Lonchura striata: one gene and its partners. The protein of the gene in region 1 interacts with the protein of each later gene in a biochemical or structural test. Links are inferred from orthologs where the notes say so. Each region holds a gene or a part of one and is shown in the gene's direction. Other genes may lie near its edges.

The links. The genes of interacting proteins can lie anywhere in the genome.
Region 2: the proteins of ERBB4 (region 1) and ABL2 form a complex in vitro, tested with the Homo sapiens proteins (2 studies listed by BioGRID and IntAct, with this or other methods). The link is inferred for Lonchura striata from reciprocal best matches to the Homo sapiens genes ERBB4 and ABL2.
Region 3: the proteins of ERBB4 (region 1) and NRG2 form a complex in vitro, tested with the Homo sapiens proteins (2 studies listed by BioGRID). The link is inferred for Lonchura striata from reciprocal best matches to the Homo sapiens genes ERBB4 and NRG2.
Region 4: the proteins of ERBB4 (region 1) and NRG1 form a complex in vitro, tested with the Homo sapiens proteins (2 studies listed by BioGRID and IntAct, with this or other methods). The link is inferred for Lonchura striata from reciprocal best matches to the Homo sapiens genes ERBB4 and NRG1.

What each region holds. Positions count from the first base shown.
Region 1 is NC_134610.1:34,848,722-34,856,713, reverse strand, and holds the start of ERBB4 (receptor tyrosine-protein kinase erbB-4), read left to right. Parts: upstream 1-4,985; coding exon 4,986-5,079; intron 5,080-7,992. UniProt on the Homo sapiens protein: Tyrosine-protein kinase that plays an essential role as cell surface receptor for neuregulins and EGF family members and regulates development of the heart, the central nervous system and the mammary gland, gene transcription, cell proliferation, differentiation, migration and apoptosis.
Region 2 is NC_134611.1:2,545,177-2,553,042, forward strand, and holds the start of ABL2 (tyrosine-protein kinase ABL2), read left to right. Parts: upstream 1-4,852; 5' UTR 4,853-4,867; coding exon 4,868-5,042; intron 5,043-7,866. UniProt on the Homo sapiens protein: Non-receptor tyrosine-protein kinase that plays an ABL1-overlapping role in key processes linked to cell growth and survival such as cytoskeleton remodeling in response to extracellular stimuli, cell motility and adhesion and receptor endocytosis.
Region 3 is NC_134617.1:15,390,397-15,397,418, reverse strand, and holds the start of NRG2 (pro-neuregulin-2, membrane-bound isoform), read left to right. Parts: upstream 1-4,031; coding exon 4,032-4,455; intron 4,456-7,022. Other genes in the region: uncharacterized protein LOC144247139, read right to left, coding at 1,492-1,565, 2,110-2,144, 3,856-3,932, 3,982-4,033. UniProt on the Homo sapiens protein: Direct ligand for ERBB3 and ERBB4 tyrosine kinase receptors. Concomitantly recruits ERBB1 and ERBB2 coreceptors, resulting in ligand-stimulated tyrosine phosphorylation and activation of the ERBB receptors.
Region 4 is NC_134642.1:4,914,101-4,922,074, reverse strand, and holds the start of NRG1 (pro-neuregulin-1, membrane-bound isoform), read left to right. Parts: upstream 1-5,106; intron 5,107-5,455; exon of another isoform or gene 5,456-5,501; 5' UTR 5,502-5,564; coding exon 5,565-6,192; intron 6,193-7,974. Other genes in the region: uncharacterized protein LOC144248186, read left to right, coding at 4,945-5,106. UniProt on the Homo sapiens protein: Direct ligand for ERBB3 and ERBB4 tyrosine kinase receptors. Concomitantly recruits ERBB1 and ERBB2 coreceptors, resulting in ligand-stimulated tyrosine phosphorylation and activation of the ERBB receptors.

The sequences.
Region 1 (7,992 bases):
GTTGACCTAATGCCCTACCTGTAGGGCATTCATACCTACCCTGCCTGACAACTCCCAAACTGCCTGCTGAGGTTCAGCCCCACGCGGCATTTTCTGCTCTGCTACGTCCCAGCTCCTCCAGTCCTCCTGCCTCTGCACCATCCTGGGTGTAAGCAAAGCCAGGGCTTTGGAATGTGTGTTTCAGCTGCAAACTGAGGTATTTTCTGCGCATCAAATGCTCATCGGCAACTGGGAACACAACCAAGGAGGTTGTGGAGGAGAGGAGGAAGCCACACTTGATCCCACAGAAACCACAAACCTAATTTCACACCGCAGGCAATTAGCCAGCACACTTTTGGTTAGGGTGGCTGTGCTACTTTGTAAAACGTGACCTTGTAATGAGCTGGGGCAATGGATCTGAGTTTCAGCTAGTCTACACTGGCAAAGGAGAACCACCAGCAGTTAAATATCATCAGGAGAGGGGAGCAGGGGTGAAGTGGCCCTCAAAACCATCTCTGTGCACTTCCAAGTCCTGCTTTGCACAACGGGATCACATCCCTGACTCCATGCCGTCACACTCAGGCTCCCTCCTGAAGCCAGCAGGATGCTGCAGCATCCTTGGCTGGGCAGTGCTGACTCAGGCACAGGGTCCTGTGCCTGCTCCCTGGCACTGCTGTCCCCCAGATATTTCACCACTAGATATAAAAATCCCCGAGTCAGGCGCTTGCGGTTGCGCTCCCTGCAAGGGAAAGCAGTAAAAGGCTGATTTATGCTCTGAACCACAAAAGCCTTTTATTGCTGCTTTTTTTTTTAATGTAACTCTCTTGCCCTTAAATGTGTAATCCCTTTCTAACAGTCTTGTGGAAGTGGCAGGGCTCTCCACGGGTTAAAGGCGGTGTTTTTCAAGAGGATCAAGTTGTCCACCAGGTCCCCGAAGCCCCTCTTGCCCTGGCACAGCCAGTTCTCCTGTCAGCAAGGGAGGAGAGCAGCAGTAAGCTACGTGCTGCCAGCATGGTCCACCACATACCCCCAGCCCTCAGCTTCCTGGGGTTGTTGGAGAGTTATTCCATCACTTGGAGTATTCCCTGACAGTCTTGGGCACTGCTGCTCCTTCAGGGGAGAATAAAACCCCAAGCTGATCTAACAGCAACAGGGATTTAGGAATTTGACCCAAGGCATATACATTTAAAGACATTGCCCAATTATTTCTTCATTTTTATTAATTACTATTAGTCATTTATGGCCCCTTTTAAATTCAACTTCTCAAGAAAAATATTGCTTTAAAAAAAAAAAAAAAAGGACAGTCATTAAATGAACAATTAGCAAAAGCTACAGCTGCACCATAAAATAGAAATACTGGGGGGTGAGGAATATTTCAAATTGACTGGGGCATGCAAGTTGTCGAATGGATGGAAAGCCAGCCGAGATCCTAAGGAAGGGGTGGATGCTGAAGAGGAGGAAAAGTACACAGTGTGGCATTGCTAGGTTCATTGTCAGGCCTGCTGTTAATTACTTGCTTTATTAATGATTTGGAAGCAATTATTGCTTCCAATTAATTGCATCAGCAAATGATGCTACATTGGGAAGAGCTGAAAGCAGAGGTGAGAGCAGAAGAAAGAACAGCGAGAGAGGCAGGGAGGGCTGAGGGGTGTAAGAGGGATTTGGTTTCATTCAGGCTCTGGGGGCTTTTCTACAGTTTCCCCTAGTTAAAGAGCACCAATACTGTCTGTGGACAAGGAAGGGGCCCAAAGAGGTCAGACAGGAGGGTTTGGTTTGAAGCAGGAACCATGGAGACCCTTCCTGTCCCGCTCAAGAGAGGAACAGAGACTTAGACTTCCCTGCGGTGTGAGGCAGGCAGAGTCCCTGCACAGCAAAATTGATCAGCGTGGAGGGGCAGCTGACTTCAGAAGATCCCAGACTGTGTAGCAGGGTGTGTTTAAAAGAAAACACTAAACAGACAATACCTTGTTCTGCCTGCTTTGCAGCCTAACTGAAGGAAGGGGGAAAACAAAGCCCAGATTAATGTAGAAATTGCATTTAATGATCATCTTGAGAAGCCATAGGACAAAATCAAGGGAGTGAACTGCCACAAGCTGTTAAGGAGGAAACTCTCTGCCCACCGGATGCCAGTGTTGCCCGACATTAAATCACATGGAGAAAACTCCTCTGGCAAGAGAATATTTGGTGCTTAAAGACACCCATCCCTCCAGCTACCCAAACACCACCACGTTCAAAAGCGCACTTGCAACTTACTTGGTGGCACAGTTAAATCTATTTGCAACTCATCATTCTGGAGGTAGGCAAAGGTGACAAAGCCAAGGACGAAGCACTGTGTAAAATTTTACTTTTACTGAGCAGACCCTAAAGAAGCCCAAGCAGAGTTTTATTGTGCGGCTCCTCGGGCTGACAGTCTCCATTAACCATCGGTTAATACTGCAGCGTCAGAGCAAACCCAGAGTCACAGCCCTGTGCGGTTAGAAAGTGTCCTTCATCCCAGCAAGAGACCTCAGGGTGAGAATATTTTGCATGAAGAGCCACTGGTGTAAGAGCTGAGCCTCTCAGCTCTGCATTGCAGTCAGCGTGTCGTGTGCCATCCCTCCAACGCCACAAATAAATCTACAATTTCTCAGCTGGGTGCCTTTGGAAGCCACATACTAATACGCTTATATGGGAAGAGAGACCAGACAAGGTTCCAATAAAGAGCTCATGTAATAAATAAACATGAGGTCAGTATGGGAACAGCAATAATTGCTTTGTATGACAAGATTTGCATAGCAAACATTTGTGATTAATGTACAGCCGGTGTCAGGTAAGGAGCCTTCACTATCGTTGTTCCATCTGCACCTTCCAATCTAGAAGGTACAGCAACTCCAGCCAGAGCAATTAGTCACTGTTTACTGAGAGGCAGATCGAGCAAAATTTTTCTAGTTCAATATTTGAGCGAGTTTCGCCTCACAGCCTCTCGCTGGATCCATTTCTGCGCCAGGCAGGGATCACGCTTCTTTCCTGGGGGTGGCAAGGAGGGATGATCAGCACTGCTGCTAATCTGCTCAGCAAGGGCACGGGCTGGCTCCCAGCCTCTCCTGCTGGCCTCTCCCATGTGGTGTTCTCAGGGAACACCTAAGAAAGGCTGAAGACCCTGCATGTCAGGGCTCTGCTTCCTGGCTGCCTTTTCTTTCACCTGCCTCTGCCTGCCAGTTTCATGGCCCCTTGGCCACCGCTGATGCAGGCAGGGGGATGCAGCACCAAGGGCAACAACACCTCCTTCTTTGCAGCCTCCTTTCTGCAAGGCCTGCCTAGTAAGTTCCAGCTAAACTTCCAGATCTTTGGCCAAAGAGCAATAATCCCACTTGAAATACTGTCTTGATTTGGGGATATTTTTCTTTTTTTCTTAAAGGCATGCAAGCCTCTGGCTTCCCTGGAAAGGAGGCAGTTTGGCTGGAGGGACTGGGGTTATTCCTCTGAGGGTAATTCCTATGGGAAAACCATTCCACTGGAGCTGGTTGGACGCAAAGCACTTGCTGCTGCAGTCTTCCACCTTAACTGCTTGGGGGTGCCAGGTAGAGCTGTTAGCATCACTGGGAAGTCACTCCGGGAAGTACTGCACAGAAGAGCTGGACAGGCATAAGGAGAGTTCCTTCGTGTTTCCAGAAGGGCTTGATCGGGGTAAGCAGGCTTCAAAACCTAGGGCATGCATTTTGGGGACATGAAGTGAAGAACTGAAGGTGTTTTTCTCTTGTGAGCTCGCAGAATTCAGTTACGACTGAGGATGCCAATCAACTCCTCAAGAGTGATAAATGGCAGCTGCTGTCTCCCACCTGTGATGAGATGTTGAGATTTTCAGTGTCTGTCTTTCCAAGACAAGTCTTGATGAGACGCTGTTCCCCAGGATCTGTTAGGGGGGATGTCTGTGTTGGCATTTCACCCTTGTGCTGGGGTGGGTGGTGGTGAGGGGAGGTACTGGGCTGATGCTTGCAGGACCCTGGCACTGCAGCTGTCGCCAGAGCATCTAGGAGGTGCCACCAGGCTGGCAGGGGACATCAGGATGGGGAGTGCATTGGTGGGAGATGCCATTACACCTCTGTGCCCCTCAGAGCTGCAGGCAGGCTGGAAAACGCAGCTCTCATCAGCTACTTCAGTGCCAAGTCCACCCAGCAGCACAGTGAAGAGTGATCTCCGAGGTGCTGCCGACCCGCCCTGCTGCCCTGAAAACCTCTCTCCGTCCCTTGCAGCCCTTCCACCCTAAAGCTCCCCAGCTGCCTGGGCTGGGCGCTGGGAAGCCCTGCACTCGCCTTGGTGCTGAGAGCGCCGCTGGGGCGCTCATGGCCGCATGAGCGGCTGCGAGCACTCAGGGGAGCGGGTGTTCGGGGCAGAACCCAGGGAGGAGAGTGACACGCCCTGTCCTTGTCCGGATCAGGTGCACGGGGGCTCCCACGGCGGAGAGCTTCACGCTGCCCAGGATGCTCTTCACGTTTCGGCCGCGGCCGCCGGCGGGACGGGCTCGGCTGGGGCCGCTGCCGTTTCGGGGCTGTGTCGGGAGGTGTCCCGGGCCCGCCCGGGGCAGGGTCGCTCCCGGTGCCGCCTCCTCGGGGCCGCCCCTCAGGCCGGGCGCGCGGGCACGGGCGCGCGGCTCCGCAGGTGCGGAGCGTCCGCGTGGGGAGGGGGGGGCGCGGGGCGGTCCCGCGCGGCGCCGGCCCCGCCCGCCCCTCGCTCCGGCCCGCCGCCCCTCCTCCCTCACCCCCTCGCTCCTTCCTCCTCCTCCTCCTCCTCCTCGTCCTCGCCGCGCTCCCGCCGCTCCGCTCCGCGCGTGCTGGCGGCGCAGCGCCCCGCGGCCCGGCAGCGGCGCGGCCGCCCCGTCGGCGCCGCGGCGCGCCCGCGGAGGGGCGGCGCTGGGGGCGGCGGCTCGGCGGCGGCAACTTTTGGGAGCCGGCGGCGGCAGCGCGGAGGCTGCGCGGGGGATGGCGGCGGCCGGGCAGCGGCGGCGCTGAGGCAGCGGCGGCGGCGCGATGCCGGCGGCGGCCGGGGGGCTGCTGTGGTGGAGCTGCTGCGTGCTGGCGGCGGCGGCCGGGGCCCCGCGGGCCGCCGCGGCGGCGCAGGCAGGTGGGTGAGCGGCCGCGTCCGTCGGCAGCGGCCGGAGCGGCGCCTTCCCGACAACTTCTCCGCGTCCCGGTGCCCGGCGCGGGGTGCGGGAGTTCGTGCGGGTCCCGCGGAGCGGCGGCGGCCAGAGGGCGACAGTCCCCCGCGGGAAGCGGAGCGGGGCCGGCGGTCGCGGATCCGCCGCGCAGCAGCGCTCCGCGTCCCGCTCGCTGTCCCCGCCCGGCCCCGGGGCCGCCCTCGCCGCCGGGCGCCGTTCGTGTCCCCGCAGGTGCCGCCGCCGTCCCGACGGGGCCGCGCTCCCGGACTTGGCATCGCGGAGCGCCGGGCGGCCGGGGCGCCGCTCGTGCCCCGCACACCCGCGCGTCCGGCCCCGCGGCGCAAACACCGCGCCGAGCTGTCTGCGCTCGGGGGAGGGCGAGCGGGCGGCTTGGAGATTAACGCTGGAATCGGCGCTTCTTCCTCCGGCAGGGTCTGCCCGGAATTTTTAACTTTCTGGAGGGAAACTTGCAGCGCTGGCTTGAATTTTGTTTTCCTCTTGGCATCCGAGCAGCGCTTTCTGCCGCCGTAGTACGAGATGTGCCGGCTCAGTCGCCCGGGGAGGGCACGGGGAATCGCCCCCCGCTGCATCGCCCCTTTGCTGTGAATAAAACATTAAAAGGAAATTTCTTCAGTCTTTGTAACTTCGCTTTTTTTTCTTTTTCTTTCTTTTTTTTTCTTTTTTTTTTTTTTTTCCCTCCCTTCCCTCCCCGGTGATGCAAAATTTATGCTGTTTGGGCGGCATTGGTGCAACAGCTCCTCGTTGTCACAATTTAGTTTATATTTTGGGGCTTTATGTAACAGAGAGAAGGAAGGATGCGTTTTGTGAGAAGCGAAAGGAGCGTGTCCTGGCTTCGCCTGTCTGACTGGGCTTTGAAGGCGGTTTTTGATCTTGGGACACAGTTTACTTTTTCGCTGTGTGATTGTTTCCTAACCCTCGAAATCGGGAGGGGTGAAATGCTGAGCTGCTGATTTCTTTTGTATATTCTCTTCCTGCGGTTTGAATCGGTAAATCCCCGCTGAAGAAGAATGGCACTCCTCGTTTCACAGGCGCTGCTTCTCTGTATCTTTTTGCCTGCCTCCCTGTTTACAGGCAGCCGCTTTGCCTCACTTGATACTTTTCTGTCTCACACTTTCCCCGTAGCCTGTGCCCCGGTTTTGGGCAGCAGCCGTCCCCACTGGGATGCTCCCGTGCTCTCCAGCAATCCTTCCCACCGCTCGGACCGGGCTGTTGGCGTGGACGATCACAAAGACCCTTCATTGCTGGATTTATACCCCAGTGAAAATAAAAAGCATCGGTCCAGGGTTGCTCGCCTGCCTTCCTGTCTTCTCTGGGGAAGCCTCCTGGATCGGTGCTGCTGAAAAGCCTCTGTGCCCTGCACTGTGCAAAACAGAAAATCGGTTTATTAAAATAGAGGGGTTGGAGTGACATTTCCTATTTGGAGAGGTTCAGGCACTGCTGTGGGCACTGGCAGCTAGTAATGATTGAGCCTCGCTACTTGGTGCTTGCTGGAATAGCAGGGCAGGCTGGACAGGGAGCCATGATTTGCAAGTGTTTAGGATCCCCCGGAATTTGGGCTCTCTTGGCTTTTGGGGGGCAATAAGACGGTGCTCTGGCCGCTGCCTTCATTTTCAGTGCATCGAGAGAGATGGTGATGCCGTTGCTCGTGCAAGCAAGCTCTTGGCCAAACTTTTGATTTCATTATCCTGTGTGTAAATATGTAAACAGGTTGGGGTTTTCTGATTTCTTCTGTCTCCGTGCTTGGGCATATAATGTTTGCAGTGCACAGCTCAGGCGGGGTCACGTGAGCCAAACAGCTTGGGCTGTTACCTGGAAGCTGGCGAGTCTTTGTTCTGCTTGAAAATAGCTGATAAATTAACTCCATTTTCTGATATGTGGGGTTGGTGAGTTGTTAAATAATTACAGCCAAATTAACTTAGTCCTGTTTGAAGTATTCACTATTCAGCTGTTCTGAGAATAATTGTACTTCAAATATCTTTTCAGTTTTTTTTCTTTTTTTAAATTTCCATTTAAAAAAAAAAAAAAATTTTTTTTTTATTTCCCAGTGAGAAGCATGCTCAGGCTGATGTATGGGCAGTCTTTAATTTCATGCCTTTACTCCTCTCTGGGCCGTGTCGGATGGGACATGCTACACGCCTTCAGAGAGATGCAGCTCCTTTCCTTTGCTACAGCCCTCCTTGGCACCTCTCCCATTTATTCTGCCACGATGTCTATTTGATGGTTAAAATTAGGCTGAGCTTGGAGTGCCTTTCCAAAGGCACGATAAATATTGCCTGGGAGTTTCAGCCCGTCACTGCCATCAGAGAACCTGGCCCTTGCACGAGGGTTCTCTGTCGCTCTGTCTGGGCCTTCTCACCAAAGGGGAGCGGGCGCTGCTGTGGGCTCAGCACGTCCTGGCTGTGCCTCCCGTGCCACACAGCCCTTCAGGTGTCTGCAGGGACATCTCTGCATGGTGGGCAGGGCAGCCTGCTGCTGTCCCTGCCTGTCCCCTGAGAGCACTGTGAGCCAGCGCTGCTGCAGGGCAGAGGAGCCTGGTTCTGGTGCCGCTCTTGGGGCATCCCCGGGGATCCTGGGGCAGCTCCAGCACGGGGCTGCACCACACAGGCTCCGTGCCTGCACCTGCCCTGCTGAGAGCGGCACTGCTGCGTGCCCCAGTGACTGAGTTGTGACTTCGCTTTTAAAAAAAGAGATGGTAATTGATGTTTATGTGTATGGAATTTGGCACTAGGAGCTGTGCTTGTAATTAACATGAAAACAGTAATAATAAGGACCTGAAATACATGCCTTATGAGTAAAGCAAATGAGACTTGGCAGTAGCAGCTCATGAAGGGGAAAGCCTTTCTCCTGAGCCTGCACGG
Region 2 (7,866 bases), on another chromosome or scaffold:
CATACCTAACCACAAAACACAGGGCCAAATAAAAGAAGAATGGGGATGCCTGAGATGCTGTAGTGAGCTGGCTGTCTGTACAGACTCATCTTTTCCACTACAACACCATGTGTGCAGTCCCTTTTCCCCCTATGCATGGAGCTCTTCCTTTTCTGGCTCTCCTGGCTGGTAGCAATGTTTAGACTTGTGGCAGTATCAGAAGAGTGGTTTGAATGAAAACAATGCTGAAGCAGCAGAAAAAACAGAACAATAGGCTCCTTCCACAGAGGAGGAGGATGATTTGGGTGATGGGATACACATTTGTGGGAGTGTGTATGTGTAGGTTTTTTTATCTAGGGTGGAAGAGAGTTATTGACAGAAGAAATTTCATCTGCCAAGGGCTGCATGTGAATGCTTCTGTACTGTTGGGCAAAATCTGTTACTTCCCCAGAAAGCTTCTATCTTCACAGACTCTCACTGAACAGGCATGAGAGTACCCCAAGCTATCCTGCATGCACTGTACATAAATGCTAGTTTAAATCATAGTAGTGATTCAAAATAACTTTTAAGACAACAGTGAAACTATTTTGCCAGGACAGATCTGGGCAGACATTTTAAGAGCTGTCAGTCAGAGATGAAAGGGTGAGTGTTTGAACAGGTTACACCAAGAAACAACATCCTCCTTCGATACGGTTCAGCACTTACAAGCTTTCAACATTTACGGCAGAGTAACTAACCTTGTGTCACAGAGCTTTTATCATATTCTTAATTCTTTCTTATTTGTTTTGAAGCGTTTCTCCAGAACCCCATGGTGGCTGAACCCCAGAAACCAGGTGGCTGCAGCTTGGAGTGGCAGATGGACACAGAGCAGCACTGCCCTGGGCCATGTGGTGGGCAGTACCCATGTGGTGCCTTGCAGACACCCAAGGGAAGCTGCAGCTGTCCTGAGCTCCACAACTTGTTCTGGAACTGAATGAAGGTACAAAAATTTGACATACTGTACACATGTATCCCTCAATCAGGCCTCTGCTCTTCTACACAGTTACCAAATACCTTAACTAATACATCTGCATCCTAAATACCAGTCAAATATTTCACACACATCTGTTTCTCTTTGGTGTACAGAGGGTTTATGATCTGGAAGAGCAAAGATTACTGCTAGAATTAATTTTTAAGCTATCACCAGCATCCTTCTAGCTAATTTTTTCCTAAATTACAAATAGAAACTGCCCAGTTAATTCAACAGTCAGGCTCAGGAGTCTCCAATTTGTCCACAGGCTCCTTCTGGCACAGAACTGATACTTCAGGCAGATGACAGTTAGGCTGTCATGCCCAGTATGACGTAAGACTGCTCAGCCAGCAATTTTTAGAGTATGATTTTTGTAGCATGCTGTGGATGAGGAGCAAATGCATTGTCAGTGCTTATAAGAAGCTTCAAGAAATGGATATACCATTAATATTTAAAGTCAGAAGTGTTTCCAGAAATACCACATTTCTTCTCAGCCACATGACTGTAACTTCAGTGCTGCCTTGGTCTTTTTTACCCCTTACTTGAACAGCTCATGAATGGCAGATTGACTGGAAACCCAAAATCGCCAGGACAGTAACTGATACCTCATTAATGCATGGTGCCAGACCTCTTCACAAGAAATTACCCTTGAAAAACAACCTGTTATTGATGCTTCATGAGGCTGATAATATCATAGCTAATACAAATAGATAGCATTGGTGCAGATTTTACCTCTTGGCTTTGCATGGTTAATAACCATGACACTCTGAGAAGTAAATACATATTAGCCTCCATTTTAACAACATGGAACGGTGTGGCTCAGTGTCATCAGTAACTCAGCAGCACAGAGTTGCTTTCAGTTTGGGGAGTTTCTTGCTTATATCCCCATTGCTCTTTAGCAGTGACCAGAAGAGCTGTTAGCAGCCAAGGCATCCCCTGTTTGTATGACACCATAAAAATGATGTTGCTGAGGGGATCAAGTGGGGCACAGTGTGATGATCTGGCTTGTTTAGCACACATCAAGCAATGGTTAGAGTTTGCTTTTTTTACAGGGTACAGCTTGCTCTTTAAAACCTATTATACAACAGCAAAAATCCCATGCTGCTGCCCTTTTCCACATGCAACAGGCCTTAGAAAGCCCCTGCCTAACCCCATCCACAGGAAAGATGGGTTTGTGTGTCAGACAAGTTTCCTGCAGCTAGAAATTAATGTAACCCATAGCAAGCTGTTCTATGTGCAGAAGGTGCTGGAAGAGAAAATGAGGGATATCATGAGATCTGAGGAATAAGAACAGTGCTTAAATTCAATTCTCCTTGGTGCACTTGCATATAACAGTCTCTTGACACTTGTGTCTTCTTTTAAAATACTAATAGCCTTCCTCTAGATAGTTCTTCATGATCAGCAAGTAAAAAGCATTAGGAAAGAAAAACAGTATTTCTGTTGATTTTTAAAGAGTGGCTCTATGCTACGTGGCAACTGCAAATGGCACGAGGGAGTTCTGTGTTTGTTGTCTCTACAGTCTCCAGAGAACATATATTTTGTTTACAAGGCAAACCATTTATAAATGCCAAATCCTGCAAATTCTAGCTGGAATGAGACCAGGAAATAGCTCTACTGAAGAGTTTACCACGGGCTGGTTCTGCCCGAGACTGCCCATTCTGCAGGAATACCCTTTGCTCATATGCACATAACAATGTCCGTACAAGGTCTGGGACTTGGCACCATGTACCCCATGCTGCACCCTGGATGTTCCCAGCACTATTTTAAGAACTGTTTTGTTATGTGTTATTAGGAGGTCTATTTGTAATTCCCCATCTCCCAAATGTTCTTAGTGCATTAATTTAGCGAGTTAAGGCATTTCTGGCTCCATGTGCTCTTCATTCCCATTTACTCCATCCATCCTGTGACAGAGTACACATCAGTCCAGTGGGATGAGCCACCCCTATTTTAGGCAGAATTATTATTGCAGCAGGGCTCAGTTTGAGTACATGCACCAGTATGAACTCCCTGGGAAGGTAGAACATGAGCTTAGAATTCCTGTCACTGAAAGCTGGCTTTCACAAAGCTCTGAGAGGAATGTCTCCTCACCTTCCCACCACAGGACAGAGGTTGGAAGCTGGTTGGCTCTGAGTGTTACCAAGCCAATTTGTCATTGTCACATCAGTTCTCAGTGGTAAAGGCATCTGAGGGGAGCAGCACTGTGGCTCATCCAGGATGAAGCAACATTATTAAGACATTGCTGAAATAGTTGCTAGCATGGAGAGAGAAATACTTCCAACTGCTCAGGTCCTCTAAACTGTGATGAGCACCATTATCTTTCAGGACAAAACCTCCTGCCTTCTGCTTTGATTGGAGTGCTTTATACTAGTATTACAGAAGGTGAAAGATGTTGGTTTACTAATTAGTTACAGAATTGAGTGTATGTTCAGCCACCCAGCAAGATGCTGCTGCCAACCACTCCTGGTGTTATTCACACAGCAGTGATTTCCTCCTCCTCTATGCACTTGGCCAGTACAACAGGTCCTGGCAGGAGCCCAAGGAATCAACCTGAAGCCTGGTAACCCACAGAGATCACAGAATCAATTAGGTGGGAAAAGAACCCTGAGCTCATCGAGTTCAACCTGTGACTTGACAGCACCATGTCAACCAGTGAGTGGTGAGTACCACATCCAGTCTTTCCATGAACACCTCCAGACAGTGACTCCACCACCTCCCTGAGCAGTCCATTCCAATGTCTAATCATCCTTTCTGTGAAGAAATTAATCCTAAAGTCCAACCTGAACTTCCTCTGGCACAGCTTTAAGACTGTGTCTTCTTGCCTTCTCCCTGGTTGCTGGGGAGAAGAGGCTGACCCTCACTAGGCTACAACAACCCCCTTGTGCACAGCTTAGGACAAGCCCAGCTCCCTTCTGCAGCTGGGCACACGGCCCTGGCTTTATCCTCATGCCTGCTCAGCTTTGTAGGCAAACCAGCCTGGCTGTAGCCTACAGGGTCAGCGTTGCTCAGGCCAGCCTTGAGGCCACAGCCATCGCTTGACAAAGCTCAAGTATTTGGACGACAGTCTCGGGTTTGGCTCTTGAGGCTGTCCTGTGCAGGGTGGAGAGATAGATTTGATGCGTCCCTTCCAGCTCAGGAGATTCTGTGATTCTCCTGGGCTGCTGCTCATGGTCAAGATGGGAGGCCTCTCCTGGGGTGCGATCTGGCAAGTCACCCACGTGGGCTCTTGTCCCTCAGCCCATGTCCATGTGCATTCCCTCGTGTGCCCGTCCCCACTGATTGCCTTGCCTGTGGCAGTGCCAAGAGGATGGTGCCAGGCTCTTCAGTGGTGCCCAGAGACAGAAGAAGAAGCAATGGCCATAAACGAAAGCACAAGAAATTCCACCTCAGCATGAGTAAGAACTCCTTTATGCTGAGGGTGGCAGAGCACTGGAACAGGCTGCCCAGGGAGGGCGTGGAGTCTCCCTCTCTGGAGATATTCAAAACCCGCGTTCCTGTCACCTGCTCCAGCTGACCCTGCCTTGGGCGGGAGATCCACAGAGGTCCCTTCCAACCCAAACAATCCTGGGATTCTGCGTGCTGCGGCAGGGCGGTCTAGGCTGGGGGGACAGCCCTCCCTCTATCCCAGCTTCCCTTCCTGCGTCCCTCCTTTCCTCCCTCGCTCCCTCCCCTCCCTGGGCGGACCGGAGGCGGCTGCGGGAGCCGCTCCGTCCCGCTCCGCCGGCGCTCTGTGGTTTAAGATGGCGGCGGGGGCTGCGGGGGCGAGCCCGTGAGCCGCAGCCCGGAGCTCCGCGGGAGCCGCCGGGACCGGCCGCGGGAGCAGCGGGACTCGCCTGCCGGGCCGGCAGCGGCGGCAGCGGCGGGATGTGAGCGCGGCCCGCCATGGGGCAGCAGGTGGGCCGCGTCGGGGAGCCGGGCGCGGGGCTCCAGCACCAGCCGCCGCCGCCGCAGCAGCCGCGGGGTCTGCGGGGGAGCAGCGCGGCCAGGCCGGCGGGCCGCCGGCGAGAGGCGGCCGGGCGCTCCGCAGAGGGAGGATTCAATGTCTTCACCCAGCACGGTGAGCGGCCGGGGCGAGGGGGAAAGGGACGCGATCGGCCTTCCTCCCCTCCCTCTTTTGTTGTGGTGGGTTTATTGGGGGAGGGGAGAGGCAGGCGGGGGGAGCGGGGCAGCCACGTCCCGGGGGATGCTTGCCCCGGCCGCCACGTCCCGGGGGATGCTCGCCTTCGGAGGAGCTTCTCGCCCCCGACCCGGAGTTACGGGGATCCGGACTGCCCGCCAGCCACAGCGGGAGCGAGGTGGCACCGCTGGGGAGCGGGACCCGCGGGGCTCGGTCGCTGTCACCGCGGCGATTCCGAGCTCTGGTTTTGTTTACAAAGGTAAAGGTAACATGTGCCTTGTCCGACTGTTTGCCGAGGCGTTTGTGACTTGCCGGTGTAGATCTGTGAGACTGTGTCGGTCCTGACATAGTAAACAATTTCGTTTTGACTGGGGTATTATAGCTGCCATCTGATTCTCAGTTGAAGTTTTTGCCTGTCCACTTCTGTTCTTATTGCTGTAAACTGAGACCGGAAATGTTTCATGTACACGTCTCTGTAACCTCTCTTAGAAGGACCCACACACCTTCAAATCTCCTTTGTAATCATGTTTTATATATATATATATACACACACACACACACACACACTTATTTGTGCATTATATTAAGATGCTGCCAAGTTTTGGGACGTAAGATCAACTGAAACCTGTCTGCCTTAACAGGCATGTTGAGAGTAGATGAGCGGATGCATCTCAAATCCTAAAGACCTGAATCAGCTCTGGAGAGCTTGGCTTTAAGTGGAGAAAGAGTTGTCATTGTTTATAAAGCAAGGCTGCCTCTGACAATACACGTTTTCTTTTGCTCAATAGAATGAGCTCAGGCAAAAAGAGTAAGGAAGTGCAACCAGCAGTCTAAAAGTAAATATCTTCTGTGACTGCTGACATATAAGTATCTATCAAAACAAGAGCACAGCATTAATCTGTTCTTAAAAATCTCAGTGTTATCACAGCTTTTGAGTTCAGGGAGCAGTATCAGCTTTAAAACCAAAACAGAACATGCTTGCTGAGCACCTGACCCACTGTTAAACTAAGAGTTGTTATTTTATTGCAACTTCATGTTTTTCTCTTTGTATTTTTTTATGTTAAAAGGCACTTTGGCTAAAGCATTCCTATCACAGACTGCACACTTGCAGTGTTGAGGACATCTCAGAAATTAGACACACTTCTTTTAGTGGGGTGTGTCTAAGTCTTTAGTAGCAGAGCAAGAATGCTGTAGAGACTGCTGTGTACATGCCTGCTAATGTCAAACTGTCTTCTCATGCTTTGGTACCAAGATGACTCTTTGGTTCCTGCTGTTACAAGGCAAGGACAGAAAGGATGTTTGTGAGAAGTGCATTACAGCATGTGGGGATGTGTAGTGACTTCCCAATAACACAGTTGACACTGACTCAAGCACTTGTTTTCGTTTTTGCTGCATGTTTTGGTAGTAATTTAGTTCAGCATTCTGAACAATTTCTTCTAGCGCCTCCTCGCACCCTACTAAATTTCAAAGATAGACAGTAGGGAGAATTATTTACATGTAGTAGGAGGGAAATGGAGAGGAAAAGCTTTCTGAAGCATGCATGCGCACCAAGAAGACAAATTATGTGCCCTGCCAGCTCTTCTGCTCTGTCTTCCAGAGATGAGAAACAAGAATGAGCCTGGAAGGCCAACACACTGAATAAAATGGTTCAGTGCCATGTAAAAAGAACATTGCTCTGGGATAAGAGCGATGGTATCTTTCAAAATAATTTCTTTACTATTTATATTGCTTAGGTTATCTGCTTCAGTGGTAAGGTAATGGATTTAGCTCTACTTAGGGTCTTTACTTAGGATTGTTTCTGTTATTTTCCTTGCAGACTGTAAAGGAAGGTGTGTTTTAAAAACAAGATACAGCTTTTTATTCTGTTAGATTATGTGGAAGGGGTGGGACTTCTTGGCAACCCACGTTTTGAGAGTTTCAGAGCAGGCTTCAAACTCCTCTTCCATCTTGGTGAGTGCCTCAGGTGTATGAAATTGTTCTCTGATTCCATTCACATTTTACTAGGAATGAGTTAACAAGTCAGTATTAATAATCTGTAGCAAATGCTAGTAAAGTTGGATACCTTTTTAAACACTTGTCTTGTGCAAAAACTAATATGCATATAGTATTCCTGAGTCTGGAGTTCACTTCCTTTGCCAGAGAAACTGTTTTCTGTGATCCTGACTCTCCTTGTCCAAGGGGATTTTTTATCATCAACTTGTATTCCTATTTTTCATTTAATGACCTTGCTCTCCTGTTTTACTTAGCCAGCAGCAAGCCAGGTTTTCTTTAAGTGAGTCATATGCTTCTGCTGCTGAGATGCTCTGGTTGCTTATGGTATTACTTGATCCAGGTGCCTCTTTTCTAGTAATTTCTTCCTGAACTCCACCTTCCATCCTGTTTCTGGGACATGTATTTCCACAGTGTATAGAAAGTGATGGCAAAAGCACAGGATTGTGGGTTAGCTCTCTTGGACCAGTGGCTAAACCAGCCAGTCACAGGATGGGGCTGGATTATCTCCCTTCCTTGGCTTTCCTTGATGCAGTCATGGATGTGAAGAAGACAACCTGTTTATAAATCCCTACCTCGTGTTGGCAGCTTTCCTACCACGTTGTGCCAGCAGCAAACCTTGCTGAGTACTCCTGCCAAAGTTCATTTTGAGGCGCTGCTTCTTCTGGATTGTTTATGAAAAGGGTGGAAATAAACAATGTTTTCAGTCTCAGACCCGTTTTGCTACAGGATTTTGAAGAGCAGTTTGAGTCAAATGGATGAAGTGTAAAACACT
Region 3 (7,022 bases), on another chromosome or scaffold:
TTGCAATGGATTTGATGGCATTTGTGGGGCTTTTGTAAAACACCTGATTATTGCAGGCAAGGAATTGTGGGAATCCAGAGCTTCCCTCTGGCAGGTCTGGGACCCTGGCAGGGGTCAGGAACCCCCCTGGAGAGAGCCCCCAGAGACACTGGCTGTGATCTCTGTCCATGGAAAAGAGTTTTCAACCTAACAGGATGAATTACAAACTCTGAGTGTTTGATATAAGTAATAATTAAGTGTGGCACGGGCGCAAAAGTAAAATTTTAGGATTCTAGATGAGAGGTCCAAAAGGGACAAGATGGAGGAAATTGGGTGTGTCTTGTCCTTTTTCTCCTTCTTCATGCCCCCCATGTTTCACTGTGGTGTTGGCATTTTTCTGTTGGTTCAGGCTGGGGACACACTGTCCAACGTAGGTGACAGATATTGGCACGTGATTGTAAATCCAGCCCAGGGAGTTTCTGGTATTTAATGTTTGTAACATCCCACTGAGGGCAGAGCCCCACACGCTGCCCTGCAGGACAGAGCTGGGCAGGGCAGCAGAACATGTGAGAGATAAACAGAATAAACAACCTGGAAACCAGCACAGACCAATTATGGCTTCTGCTTTGGCAGTGGGGCAGAAAGACAGAGACTTTTTACAATCTGGGAATCATCAATACCTCAGATTCCGACAGGAATGTCCCATAGAGAGGGAAAGCAATGTTCCCTTGGCTGGGGTATGGGATGGTGTCTCCTGTATTTACCACCTGCACACCAGCAGGGCTTGGGGCTCCCTGCAGGATACAGCTGGTGCTGGGAAGGGCTGTGGGAGGTGGGGGGGCACCTTGCAATGCATTCATGGTTCTGAGGTTGGCCTGAAATGGGCAAGAGCTTAGCACAGCCCCATGCTGGATGACACAGGGAATGGCTGGACCTGTCTTAGGCTGGATATCAGGAAAAAGTTCTTCCTACAGAGGGTACTGGGCACTGCCAAGGCTCCCCAGGGAATGGGCATGCCCCCAAAGCTGCCAGAGCTCTAGAGCATTTGGAAAATGCTCTCAGGCACAGGGTGAGTTGTTGGGATGTCTTGTGCAGAGCCAGATGTTGGACTCAATGCTTCCCCTTCCAGCTCAGCACGTTCTGTGACTCTGCTTTGTTCCTCCTTACACCAAAAGCCCCACATGGGATTTGCAGGAGCAGACCTTCAACTGACACAGAGGAGGCTGAGCATCTGCAGCCTGTGGAGGATGCTGAACAAGGACAGCTCGCCTGCCTGTGCTGCTGGAGGTCAACACCTGTCCTTGCAGAAGAGCTGCAGGGCTCCCTGAAGAAGGGAGGGACACTGGGACACTGCCCTGTGTGGCATCTGCACCAGGCAGGGCTCTGTGCCAGGAGCTCCCTTGGCAGAGGGCAAGAGAGACCTGAGAGGTGCTTTGTGTTCAGGCATCTCTGGGAAATTGCAGGAACAAAATTAAAGGAGGTAAAAGAAAAAACAGCCCCCAGAACAATTACCTGAGGAACGAAAATCTCTGATGGTGCTGCTGAACTCTGGGGTGGCATCCAGGCTGAGCTCAGATTCTCCATCTCTGCCAGGATAGCAAGTATGATGGGTTTTCACAGTGGGGAGGTAGAGGAGAGGTGGGCTTTGGGTAAATTAAAACAGACCACAGACCTTCCTGGGGTCCCTGCCAACAGTTACCCTAGTCTGAAGGAAAGTATTTTTAAAATCGGTTATTTAAGCTTAATTCTCTCAAAGCCAGTGTTCAGGTTGTTCTGGTAACTGTACCAAGGACCTTGCTTTATTTATTTCATATGTCAAAATGCCCAAGGACCTATAGAAAATAATGATTTTTCTTTATGGGAAAAACTGCATAATGGGGGGAGAGGGATTTAGTCCTAAACCATTTCTGAAATTTAAGAGAAAAGCAGCTGTCTCAAGTGATGAAAACCAGTTGACTTCACAAGAGTTAGGTTGAACAACAGGAAAAATACTGCTGAAAGCAGATGTGACCAGTGCCCTTGTTTGAGCCTAAGTGTTCGGGACTTCAAAATACCCCAGAGATAAAGAAAACCTGAATTTTTCAAAATTTCCCCAGAGGCCTCACAGGTATCTTGCACTGAATTACTCACCTGGAGAACTGCGGTGGTCCCGCTGGGATTTCAGCCTGCAAAAACAGACAAGGATTAGCAACTCAGCTGCCTGGGCATGAAACTGCCCTTTCTGCTGAGGGGCAGGGTAGAGCAGGCGAGCTCCAGATGAAGTGATGCTATCGGGTATATCCTTCCTATTCAGGCAGAACCTCAGTTGCTGTCTGAACAAAATGATAGGGAAAGGGGAAATTCCACAGAGATTTATGTCAAAAGAAGAGAGAAGTCAGGTGGTTTCCCTGCTCCTCTGAGCAGCTTCCTGAATCTAAAATACTGTTCTTCCCTCTGCCGTGGGAAACACTTCTGGTCCCTTCTACCTCCACCTGCATTTCTCTGCAGTTCTGCGTGGTCACCAGTCAGGGGGAAAGAGAAAGCCTTCGGAAACATCTGAGACCAAAAAGCCGCAGAGAATCACGCTTAGCGAGAGGAAATGTGCACCAGAAGTAAATGGTCCCCGAGCCCTGCTGTGGGCACGCTGCGGGGCTCCCGGTGCACCACGGCCCTGCAATGGCAACGCTGCTCCGAGAGCTGTCAGCAGTCCCGGAGAGGGGAAGAGCAGCGGTCCTGGCTGGCACCAGAGCCCCGGGTGCGTGTGCTGGGGCTGTGCCCTCTTGTGCCAGGGTGGGACAGCGCTGCCTCCCGCCCCGAGCCGGGGAAACACGAGCAGAGGCTACGCCCCATGCCTGGGCTGGGCTGGGCACAGCGGCTCTGCTCCTTTCCCGTTTTTCCTGACGGTTCTGGCTGCGCTATGTTAAATGGAAGCAAATCCAGGTCCTGCCATCTGTGCTCCTTTGCTCTCACTCAAAGAGAGTGGGCTCGAAGACTCATCCCTTGAGGTTTGCTGAGGGGTTTCCTCGGGGCCCTAAAGCACAGGGACTGTTGCAGTCTGTGCCCAGAGCCATCGCCCTTCTGCCTCCAGGTCACCTCCGTGGGATGGGACTATGGCCGCTCCCCTTCAACACAGAATCCAGTGCAGCAACAACCACAAAATCCCCCGCTGCTGCTAATTGAGCATTTCAGCTCCCTTTCGCACCGCCTGGGCAAGCGAGGCTTTGCGAGTGCAGATGCTTCAGGATCAGCCTCGGGAATAAACCCAAACAAGCACATTTTGGAGCTTAAAGCGACTCCTCCTGGAAGCCACTGCAGGGAAAAGCATTTGTTTATTAAAGAGAGGCAGCAGGAACAGGCATGAAAGGCGGCTTTGTCTCCTCGGCCACTGCGTGTTCCGTTTGTCTCTATGTTAATGTCTTTCCTTCAGGTGTGCAGGGAATCTCGGGCACAAATCTCCCAGCTCCATAAAACCATCGGGAAAGAGGAATCCCCGGCTCCCGGGCCCTGCGCATCGCGGAACCCCCGTGTCACCTGCAGCCGCCCCCAAATGAGCGCATCTTTGATCGCCTCTGCGGGGAAAAGGGGGGTTCTGCCAACGCCTCGGTTGGCTCCATGGGCGGATGGAGGGAACGCGATCTGCCTCCATCCCCGGGGACCCCCAGGGACGCGGGGATCCCCACCGCAGCGGGCATCCCCGGGGGGAGTCCCCGGGCAGGGAATCACCTTTCCGGGGGGGTGCGGGGGTCAGCATCCCGGGGGCAGGGGCAGCTGAGGGAGCATCCCGCCTCCTCCTCCCCGCGCCGCGCCGCGCCAGTGCCTGTGCCGGTGCCGCGCCAGGCCGTGCCGCTGCCGTGCCGTGCCGGTGCCGCTCCGTGCCGTGCCGGTGCCGTGCCGTACCGTGCCGTGCCACCCCGCGCCGTGCCGTGCCGCCCCGTGCCGTGCCGTGCCGTGCCGCCCCGCGTCGCGCCGCTCCGCTCCGCCCCGCCGCGCCCGCCGCGCCGCAGCCCCGCAGCCCGGCCCCGCAGCCCGGCCGCCGCCGCAGGGCCGGCGGGCAGCGAGCGGCAGCCGGCGGCATGAGGCGCGACCCGGCGCCCGGCTTCTCCATGCTGCTCTTCGGCGTCTCCCTCGCCTGCTACTCGCCCAGCCTCAAGTCGGTGCAGGACCAGGCGTACACGGCGGCGGTGGTGCTGGAGGGCAAGGTGCAGTCCGTGGGCCCCCCCGCCGGCGGCAATGACAGCCGCGGCGCCGGGCCCGCCGGGGGGGTCTTGGTCAAGGTGCTCGACCTGTGGCCCCTCAACAGCGGGGGGCTGCAGCGGGAGCAGCTCATCAGCGTGGGCTCCAAGGCGCCCTGCTTCAAAGTGAAGCGCAACCACCGCTACATCTTCTTCCTGGAGCCCACCGAGGAGCCGCTCGTCTTCCGCACCGCCTTCGCTCCGCTCGACACCAGCGGCAAGAACCTCAAGCGGGACGTGGCGCGGATCCTCTGCGCCGACTGCGGTACGGGCCGCGCCGCGGCGGCGGGGGGCGGCGGGGGGCGATGGCGGAGCGGCGGCGGGAGCGCTGGCCCGCGTCCCGGGCAGGCGCGGGGCGACAGGTCCGTACCGCTGGGACCTACGGGGGACAGGCGCCCGGCGATCATCCCCCCACTTCGCCCCCGGTGGGCCCCGGGAGCCGCGCCTGCACCGGGGGAGATGCGATGCGATGCGGCGCGGTGCGATACGATAGGATACGATACGATACGATGAGCTCCGCGCGGCCCGGCCGCCGCAGCCGCGCTCCCCCCATTCCCCGGCCCCGGCGCTCCTCGCTCGCCCGGCTCAAGGGCCGGTAGCCCCAGCCCGGCGCCGCGCCAGCAGCGCAGACCCGGGCCCGGTGCGGGGAGTGCCCGCAGCCCGCGGCCGCCCGGCGCTCGGTGATGCCGCGCGGGAGCCCTCGGGCTCAGCGCGGTCCCAGCGCCCCGGTGCCTCTCCCCTCGGGGGCCTCGGCCGTGGCAGCCCTGCCGGGAGAGCTGCCGGCCTGCGGGGGCTCCGGTCACTCCGGCCGCGACCCCCGCCCCGGGCGCGTTCCCTGCTGCGGAGGGGGCCGGGCCCGGGATGCGGGGCTGGGACAGGGGCAGCGCTCCAGGTGCGCCCTAAGAGCGGGGAAGTTTTGCGTCTTCCAAAATAACGGCCTCGCGAGGGGGGGAAGTTGTTTTTTCTTTTGTTCGTTCCGCGCATTTCGGTGTTTCCGATCACGGCTCTCGTGCGGTGGCTTGTGCTGTTCTTCCAGCACCTCTGGAAACGCGGTTATGAAATGACTTCAACGGGAAGTGCCCGCCGGAGCGTCCCCGCTTTTGTTCCTGGATTTTCCTTGCTGTCCTCTGGCAGGTGAACACCTGCGAAGGGCTGGGCGGTGGGGACCAGGCGAGGACAATGCCTGCATTTTCCCAGGGTTTGGATCTGAGCTGACAAAAATGCACGGCTGGCCCTTCATCCAGCCTGAATGCTGGATACTGTGTCAGAAAATCTGGAGAAGGACGGTGTTAACCCGGAGAGCTCTGAGCGCCGTGCCGTGCCCTCAGCAAGGGTTTGAATTCCTCGTTTTTGGTGTGTTATGAGGATATACAGGGTGTACCTCCAGGGAATCCAGGCTCCCCACTCAATGTTAATACACTGCATTCTCATAAGGTTAATTGGCCTTTTGCCTCATTAAAAGCGAGGTACTTTGTCAAGTTATACTTAGCTCTGTAATGACCATATGTGTACTGCTCTGTGGTGGTTGTTGTGGTATTAACTGTGTGTTTCTGGGGCAAATACTCTGCCATTTGGGACTGCTGACCCCGCATTGTGAAAGCTAGACCTGTCTCTTTTTTTAGTTATCCAAAAGATAAATTTAGAAGCTTGCATTTCCTGGGAGAAAGGTGGAACCTTCCACATCATAATATGTTGTTGAGGAAAATGGGCTAGGACTGTGTGCAAGAAAACTAATTTGGGAGACACTAATTTCATGTTCATCTGTATATGGGCCATCGTGGACAGAGAGGATTTAGTGAAAGAGCTGTGGTAAAGACAAGAGAAAAGTAAATGGGGGAATTTCTCAGGACTGTGGTCTCATTGTCAGGGAAAAACACAGCAAAAGGTACGTGGCTTTTATTGCCTTTTTTTTTTTTTTTTTTTTTTTTTTTTTTAAGATCAAAAAAGGATTCTGAACTTGTGCATCTCTGAGCAGCAGGGTTTGACTTTAAGGGGAATGGAGGCTGTTCTGTGGCATCCTGGCTCAGGCCCAAAGCGTTAATGTGTGGGCTGATGTAACAACAAGTTAAGGGTTGTCATTCTGTCGTGACACCTCCTTGGAGCTGATGCTTTTGTTTCTGTGTGGCTCTGATGGGCTGATTCGCCTCCCTGGCTGAGGGACACTGCAGATTGGTGGGAGCCTTGTCTCAGCAGAGCTCGATGGCAGATTCCAAAGGAAAAATAAAATCTGGTGGTTGGGAAATGTCATAGCTGTGGTTTGCTTTGGTGATGAAGATGAAATGGGAGCCTCAGCTTGCTGAACTGGTGGTTCCCTGAGCACTTCATGCTCTTGGTCCAGCTGGGAGGTTACTTCTGAAGGTGACTTTCCTGGCGGGATCTTCTGATTTGTAGCACCCGAGCTGCTGGAAAGATGTGTGAACTGGGAAACCACGGTTTGCCTTCCTGCTCTGTGGTTTGTGCTGGGAGGGGAGATCCAAAAGGGTGAAGGGGTATTTCCCATTCTTGCTGCACACAGGGGTAGTGAGAACTCCAGAGCTGGCAGGGGGTGAATGTCCAGGCACGAGGAGCACTCTGAGGGACAGCTGGGCTGCAGCTGTATGAGGGATGTTACGGAGCTGGGGGACAGATGGTGGGGTCACTTCTGAGCGGGAAGGGAGGACCTTGTGGCTCTGATCACTCCAATCCCCCCACTCCCAAAGATGGAGGCCTCACAGGACTATCTTCTCCCTGCTCTGGCTCTGTGCCTGGGTCTGTTTTCCAGTGATTCATCCCCTTCTCACCGGCTAAGATGCTGTGTGTCTCCTGCTCTTGCTGCGTGCCGAGGTCCGGGAT
Region 4 (7,974 bases), on another chromosome or scaffold:
TTGTTCTTTGGTCCTTGGCAAAGCATCCTTAAAAGGAGCCCTATGAGCAGTTTCAGTCCATGCACAGTGGTGAGAGCACTGTACATGGAAAGGAGGATGTCACGATGGCAGATTTTCTGCAGGCAGTGCCATGTGTGACATGGAAACACAGGAGATTCGGTTTCCTGGGGGTCTGTGGTGCAAGGGAGAGAGGAGTCTGGGCTGAGTACTGATTATCTGAAGGGTGGTAACTTGATTGATGGTCCAAGTTGTGTCTCACTGTGGTTTGTTGGAGTTTGGGTGGGGGGAAGAGGAATGTTTTCATTCTGGATTCAGGGTCTTTTACCATAGTAGTAGTTTAATAAAGTTCTTTCCTTTTTTTTTTAAGCTTGAGCATGCTCTGCTCTGTTCCTGATCACATCTCACAGCACTCATCTGGGGAGGGTGTATTTTCATGGGGACACTGGCATTGCGCCAGGGTCAAACCATGACAAGTACCCATAAAACTGGTGTTTTGTGTTATTTCCTTGAGCCTTTTGGGAGTTAAACTTTAAAAAAAAAAAACAAAAACAAAACACCACAAAAAAACCCACCTGATTCTTTGCAAAAACAGTCCATGAAACGAAACTACAGTTTTCTAAGGCTTTCAACCTGTTATTTGGCAGGAATCCAAATCTCAGTCAGAGATCAGCTTCATTAGTGTAGACTCACCCTGCATTTTCCTCTAAGCCAAAGAGATCCAGGCTATGTAGGAATCAGGAATAAAGCTTTGCACATGAAGCTAACCTTACTGCAAACCGGCAAGTAATTTCTTGCCTTATCCTGCTGTATATACCACCAATGGGCTACCCCAGTAAAACTTTGTTACCTTCAAGGTCATGCTCCCACTCGATTTCTTCCAGGCCTCCCTTCCAATGAGCCAGTTGCTGACTCTTCTCAGCCACTCATCTTCAGCCGGGGCAGAATCCGTGTTTGAGCACAGCACGCCACTGCTAGCTTGTCACTACAGAAATATAAAAAGCTCAAGCCTGCAGCTGCAGTATAAAACATTTCTGCATTTCTTTGAGAGTAAGGGGAATTATTCAGTTTATACTTTTATCTCCAGACCCTAAGTGAGAGACCATCATCAATCAGCTTTTAGCGCAGCCTCGAGAAAGTAACGTGCTCCCGTGCCCACCCTGATGCGGCTGAGCACACGGGGTTTAATTTTGCTCCAAAAGATGCCGGGAGGAGCCAGCCCGTAAGGTACAGGATTGCAGCATGGCAGGCAGGCGGTGTGCTGGCCCTGGCTTTGGCCACCTGTGGAGCGGGGCCGGGGAAGCTGTCGGGGCGATGATTCAGCGCCCGCTTTCGTCCTTCTCCTCGGGGAACAGCGGGAGCCGCCGCAGGCGGGGACAGCGCGCCGGGAGCCGCCCCGCTCTCCTCGCCGCAAGCCCCGGAGCCCCTGCGGAGCTGGGGGGCTGAAGCAGCTCTGCAGGCTTCCCTGCGGAGGGGGAGGAGGGGGAGGAGGTCTGGGCACAGCCGGCTGCGTGATGCTGAGGCAGGCGGGCTGCGCGCCAGGGCTGGAGGTGCGGCGGGGGAAAGGACCCGCAGCGGAGCAGGGCACTGCAGCCTGGCCGGGAGCCAGGGAGCACGGGCACGCTGCGGCCGGGAGCCGTGCGGGTGTGCCTGCCTGCCTCCTGCATCCCTCCTGCCCGCCTCCTGCATCCCTCCTGCCTGCCTCCTGCATCCCCCCTGCCTGCCTCCTGCATCCCTCCTGCCTGCGTCCTGCATCCCTCCTGCCTGCCTCCTGCATCCCCCCTGCCTGCCTCCTGCATCCCTCCTGCCTGCCTCCTGCATCCCCCCTGCCCGCCTCCTGCATCCCCCCTGCCCGCCTCCTGCATCCCCCCTGCCTGCCTCCTGCATCCCCCCTGCCTGCCTCCTGCATCCCCCCTGCCTGCCTCCTGCATCCCTCCTGCCCGCCTCCTGCATCCCCCCTGCCTGCCTCCTGCATCCCTCCTGCCTGCCTCCTGCATCCCTCCTGCCTGCGTCCTGCATCCCTCCTGCCTGCCTCCTGCATCCCCCCTGCCTGCCTCCTGCATCCCCCCTGCCTGCCTCCTGCATCCCTCCTGCCTGCCTCCTGCATCCCTCCTGCCTGCCTCCTGCATCCCCCCTGCCTGCCTCCTGCATCCCTCCTGCCTGCCTCCCTCCCGCCTGCCGGGCGGAGCTGCTGCGGGCGGGCTGGGCCGGCTGGTGGAGGAGGAAAAGTCGGGGAGAGAGATGCGCTCCATCCTCAGTTCAGCCAGCCGGGCTGGGGCAGCCAGGGTGAGAAAAGCCCTGCGGCAGCAGGGTGAGAAAGGGAGCATGCCCCCACATGCAGAGGAAATGTCAATTTCCCTGTGTGCATCCCCCGTGCAAATAGCATGCCATCCCTCTGTCCAGCTGTGTGGTGTTCTGCGTGTTCGGTTTAACTTCGTGGCAACCCTGGTAAGAAAGGTGCAGGGCCTCCACGTTCGTTTCTGTTCAGCACAGCACCAGCAAGATGTGAGCCACATCTTGCCGTATCACATAGTTTAAAGGAGAGCAGATAAGTGTAGATAGAATGGAGGGTCATGAAGATTACTGGAGATTGAACACAGGCAGTTTGCCAGGAAGACCAGTGCAGGAAGATGCGGACAGGACTGGGGATTAAACACAGGCTGAGAGACGTGTCAGCATGGAAAATTCTCTTACTGGAAATAGGAAGGTTGAAAATTAAACATGGATAAAGAAGGAAAGTAATTTAAAAAAAAAAAAAATTCTGCCAAGCACTTAGATGCTGTAGTATCTCATCTGTGCAATGAATAGAATATTCCCAGCTGGTTCTCAGCTTGCACTCCGCTTTGAAGAGTGATGCTGTAGCTTCACACTTGAGGAACAACTTGGGTGTGCGAGAGTGTGTCTGGTTTTCCTAGATTTAATCAAATGAAAGGTACATCCTTTCTCTAGAAACCGTGCTTTACTTGTAGCCACAGACCAACGCACCTGTCACAGCAATTCTGCTGTTTTTTTACACTTTGTACAGAGGTTGTGTTGTTAGTGCTGTTTGAAATAGGTTTTGAGATACTCGAGAGAGGCTGCACTAATGCAGGGTATTACCAGCAAAAGAGAACATGTGCTTTGTAATAAGAGAAGCCATATATGTAAATATGCAGTGCAAGCTGTTCTTTCTGTCTGAGGTTGCTGATCACATCATTAACCTAAGGACCAGACACTTCAGTGGTAATGTAGGCTAGATTGTAAGATGATTTATCTTTTTACATTCCTTCAGAGAGTGTTATCACTGGCTGTGCTTTAAGGTAAATGCTCCAAGCACTTGGTTGTAGTAGCATTGTGATTACTTCAGTTGGCTACGACCGCCTCACAGGAAGCTTTGTGATCAGACATCCATCAATTAGTCCTTGACATGACAGTCTGTAAAAACACTATGGGATTCATTGAGATTTTGATAAGTCTTTTCCATGCGACTGTTACTAATGTTCTCATGGAAGGGGGGCTGAGATGGGAGTGGAGTTGGAGGCAGAGAGAGAGCATGGGTAGAGCCAGATGCCTCTTTTGACACCATCAAAAATAGGTAACTACAGAGGAATTTACCTTTCATGTGCCTAAACAAGACACCAGCAAAAATTAGTTCAGGGCAATTTTTAGCACTTGATTCTTTGTTTCCTTATGCATCCTGCAGCCATCTATACTAAAGAGAAAGGGGGAGTCTCACCAGCAAAATTTCAATGCAAATGTTTTAATTAAGTTCAAGGACCTGGAAATTGTATTATAAGCACCTTGCCTTTCATACATGTCTTTATTGTTACATGGGTGTATTTTTCTGTGAGAGACAAAAGAGACTGGGAATAGATCTGATTCTAGTCTTACTTTCATTATGTTAACTGGACTGTTGATTTACCCCTGTATTATACTGCACTGGTGGAAATTGTAGTGTTTTGTATTAGTAAAGGTGAGAAATGACAGCCAAATGAAGTGCAAGCCTTTAATAATAATAATAATAATAATAATAATAAATAAAATAGTTTGATTTTTTTTTAATTTTATTTTTTTAGTGTAAGGTGAGTGAGGATCTAGTCTAGCAACATGTGAGCTCTTGAAAAGTGCATTCAGGAACTGACTTTACTGTGAAGTCTGGGGTTTTTTGGGTTTAGAAATGGGTCGGGAAAGGAGGTTGGGAAATAGAATTTTAAAAAAAGCAAATCTCCTTGCAACAACTCGAATGAAAATTTATCAGAGATGGGAATGGATTGGTGTTTTTTATTTACTCTGCTTGATCTAAGATGCATTCCAGCCCTATTCCTAGGAAATAAAACTTACTCAGGAGCTTGGAAAGAAGAGCTGTCTCTAGGTGTCAGGCAGGGAGAAACTGCTTCTGGAAAGAGGTTTTCCCCCTGGGAGAGATTGAATATCAGACTGAGCGAGCCCAGTCCAACCCAAAGAGCTCCCACCGATCTCAGTCCCTGCTGGAGGACTTTGCCATCGATGGCCGCCGCTGCCTCTGGCCGCGCTTTGCCTGGAGAGAGGGAGTGGGTGGGTGAGCAACTCCTGTCCGCTCCCTCCCTTTGATTTGATGGCCTTTATTCCTCCTAATTGGATAAAATAGGAAGTCACTGACAGTCCTGCGTTGCTGTGTGTACTGATTTCACTCAGAGCAGCCTGCAGAGTGCGGGGGGTGGGGTAGGGGAGGAAGGAGCGAGTCCGCACATCAGGGAAACAGGCTGCGAGGGGGCTGGGGGAGCGGGGCGGGGGGGAACGGAGGAAAGTGAATGAGCGCTCAAGGAGGACAAAGAGGGAGGGGAGATAAAGGGAGTTACCACCGTCTTGGCATCGCTCTTGCTTTCAAACCTCTCTGTAATGATATTGTTTGCAGTGATGCTCAGACAGCGAGCACCTGCTGCTCTGTAATGATTCAGCCTCTTTCAGCCGCCGCTGTAACACGACAGGATGCTGCTGCTACTGTCACTTCTGCCGTTGCCGCTGTTGTTAGAGATTTTGCTTTTGCTCCTTCTACCGCATGACAATTGTTTTCCTCGTCTAAGCAGATACCAGCCTCAGATGCTCAAGGTGAGAGTCTTGCCTTTCGCTCTGGGCTACTGGTTTACTTAATCTGGTCAGTTTGTTCAGTGTTTGTGGTTTTCTTTATCTCATTGACCCTCCTTACCCCTATTTTGTTTTGTTGTGCTTGCTTTTGGGGGAATGTTTCTTCCCCCTGAAGAAGAGCTGAAATTGCTTGAGAGGCGTTTAAGGAATTATAAAAGTGGCTAGCAAACAGGAGCTCAGTAATTGCAAAGCTATTCTCACTCCAGAGAAGCAGAGACAGTAACAGAGGGCTTGGGGACACAGGGACTGGCGGGGGGGGGGGGTCTAATTTTTCCTGTGCATTACTCCTCTCTCAGTTTGGATGATGTTGCTGAGCTTCGACCTTTTATTGACTCCCACTCTGTGATTTTTGCAGAGCACTGTGACTATTACTACCGTCTCTTTTTGTCTGTGTCTCACAGTAATGGACTGTGATAGAGTTAAGGCCTTTTGGAGGTGAGCTGTTTGAGAGCTGATGCTTAAACATGTCTGAAGTAGCTGCCGACACTTTCCCCAGCCCCTCAGCTCAGCTGAGCCCTGACGCGTCCCTCAACGGGCTCCCGGATGAGGAGAACATGCCGGGGACCCAAAGAGAGGACAGGAGGGTCCAGGGGATAGCAGGCCTTGCCGCAACCTGCTGTGCGTGCCTGGAGGCCGAGCGACTGAAGGGCTGCCTCAACTCTGAAAAGATCTGCATCGCCCCTATCTTGGCTTGCCTGCTTAGCCTTTGCCTCTGCATTGCTGGCCTCAAGTGGGTCTTTGTGGACAAGATTTTTGAGTATGACTCTCCTACCCACCTTGACCCCGGGAGGATAGGACAAGACCCAAAGAGTGCTGTGGATCCTACAGCTCTGTCTGCCTGGGTGCCTTCGGAGGTGTATGCCTCACCCTTCCTCGTACCTAGCCCCAAGAGCAAGGCTGAAGTGACAGTGCACAGTGACAGCTCACTTGTACCCTCCAAACCATTCCTCCAGCCTTCTCTATATAACCGCATCCTAGATGTTGGGTTGTTGTCCTCTGTCGCACCTTCGCTGTCACCACCCGCCCTGGAGCCTACCACAGCATCTCAGGCACAAGCAACAGAAACCAATCTCCAAACTGCTCCAAAACTTTGTAAGTAAAAACTATGTGTTTCTTTGGGTTTTTGTTTTTTTTTTTCCCCTTTGCAGAAAAAAAAAAAAAAAGGCACTTAACTGTTCCCTGACTGTCTACAAGGAGGACATGTGATTGACTTGCAGAGCTTAAGCATGCTAAGAGAGATATAGCATGGGTTGTCTTCTGAGAGCAGCATCTAGAATCCTCAGAACTTAATTCTGTCATGTGCAGGACTTCATCTGGGATGTCTGTAAAGGGCTAGTACTGCCTTTTTCTCTGCATCCACTTGTAGGGAAGTATGTGATTTGTTTCAAGGGTTTATCTGATGGCTGTTACACATAGTGTATTGTCCTTATAAATTGGCTTTGTCTCCTGTGCTGGATCTTCCATGTGTGTTCTTTGCCTTGCCTGCAGAGCATTTCTGGTGCATCCTTCCTGAAGTCTGTGGCTGGCAAATATCCCTGTCATCCTCATGAAACTCTCAGAACAGTGAGAAAAAGTGACAGTAGATTTGAAGCAGTTAGAAACCGGGAACTATTACTTTAGCATCTAACTTACGATCTTTCTCTTAAGAGCAAAGCATACATTTCTCTGTACCTTTCTCTATCTCTAGGAGCTGCTTCTTGTTTAACTTGTTTCTCATATGTTGCCTTACTGCCTTTTGTGAGGCATTTCAGGAACGCATTCTTGCTGATGTAGAAAGAGTCAATTTCCAAATTAGACTTCGTTCATTATAAAAACAAACAAAAACAGGTATCTGTATTATTTTCTTAGTAGTGATCATAAAGCATCAAAATACTGCATTACTCAAGTGCCATTTCTTTGACATTCATTATTTTAACCCACCAAATTCAAGGCAAACCAAGCCAGCAATTCCTGAGCTGTGCAAAGCTGTGTAACTCTAGTAAAAGGGAAGACAGCACAGTCTTCTGCTTGAGAGCACAGGGCTGAGGTTTCCTGTCGAAAGCTGCAGTGATCAGAGTGAAAAACTGCACTCCTCACAAATTTCCATGCAGGACCCCATGTCATTTATTCTCTCTCATGCCTTCCCTATAATGCCATAGGTTGGCACGTTGAAGATGGCACATACTGGACCTCACCCTGGAGCTCTGAAGTCACCAGAAGTTCACTTCTAAGTTTAGCCCCACTAAGACTGAACTGAGTATAGATATGTGGCATTTGGATTAAATCTAATATTTCAGGCCAACACCCTTGCCAGTGAAAATGAGTATAACTAGGGTGATTTCAGAGGAGGTCCTTTCAGCTGAGAGTCAGTCTTGAACAGCAGTTCCAGAATCAGTGAAAGAAAGTTCTGAATATTCCTGTAGAAACCCATCTGCCTTTTGCCTAGATGATGGGTGGCAACCATCCTGCAGATTAAAAGTAATTTGCTAGAAGGAAACAGTCTAATAGAGAAACTCTACTGTACCAGTAAATGATAGGGAGCCTTGTCTGTGGTGTTACTTTAATTAACCACCTTTGCAATTAAATAGAACTATGCTAAGTGAGCTTTCTTTTAAATATTGCTGATGCATAAAATCTTTTTTTGTAGTGCAAACGTTCTGACATTAAATATATGACTTCTTAACACACTTTGCTTCATAAAGTGACCAGAGACCACTATTCAGTCATAATTGCTTCAAGAATCCCTCTTGAATTTCCACATATGTGGCAAACCTTTTTCAAAAACATGCTAACTCCATCTCTGAAGTAAACGAAGGGGTGGAGGGGCACAGAAAATATTCTTTGGAGCTGTCACTGACAAAAAGCCATTATCTGCATTTAGATCTGCTCACATCT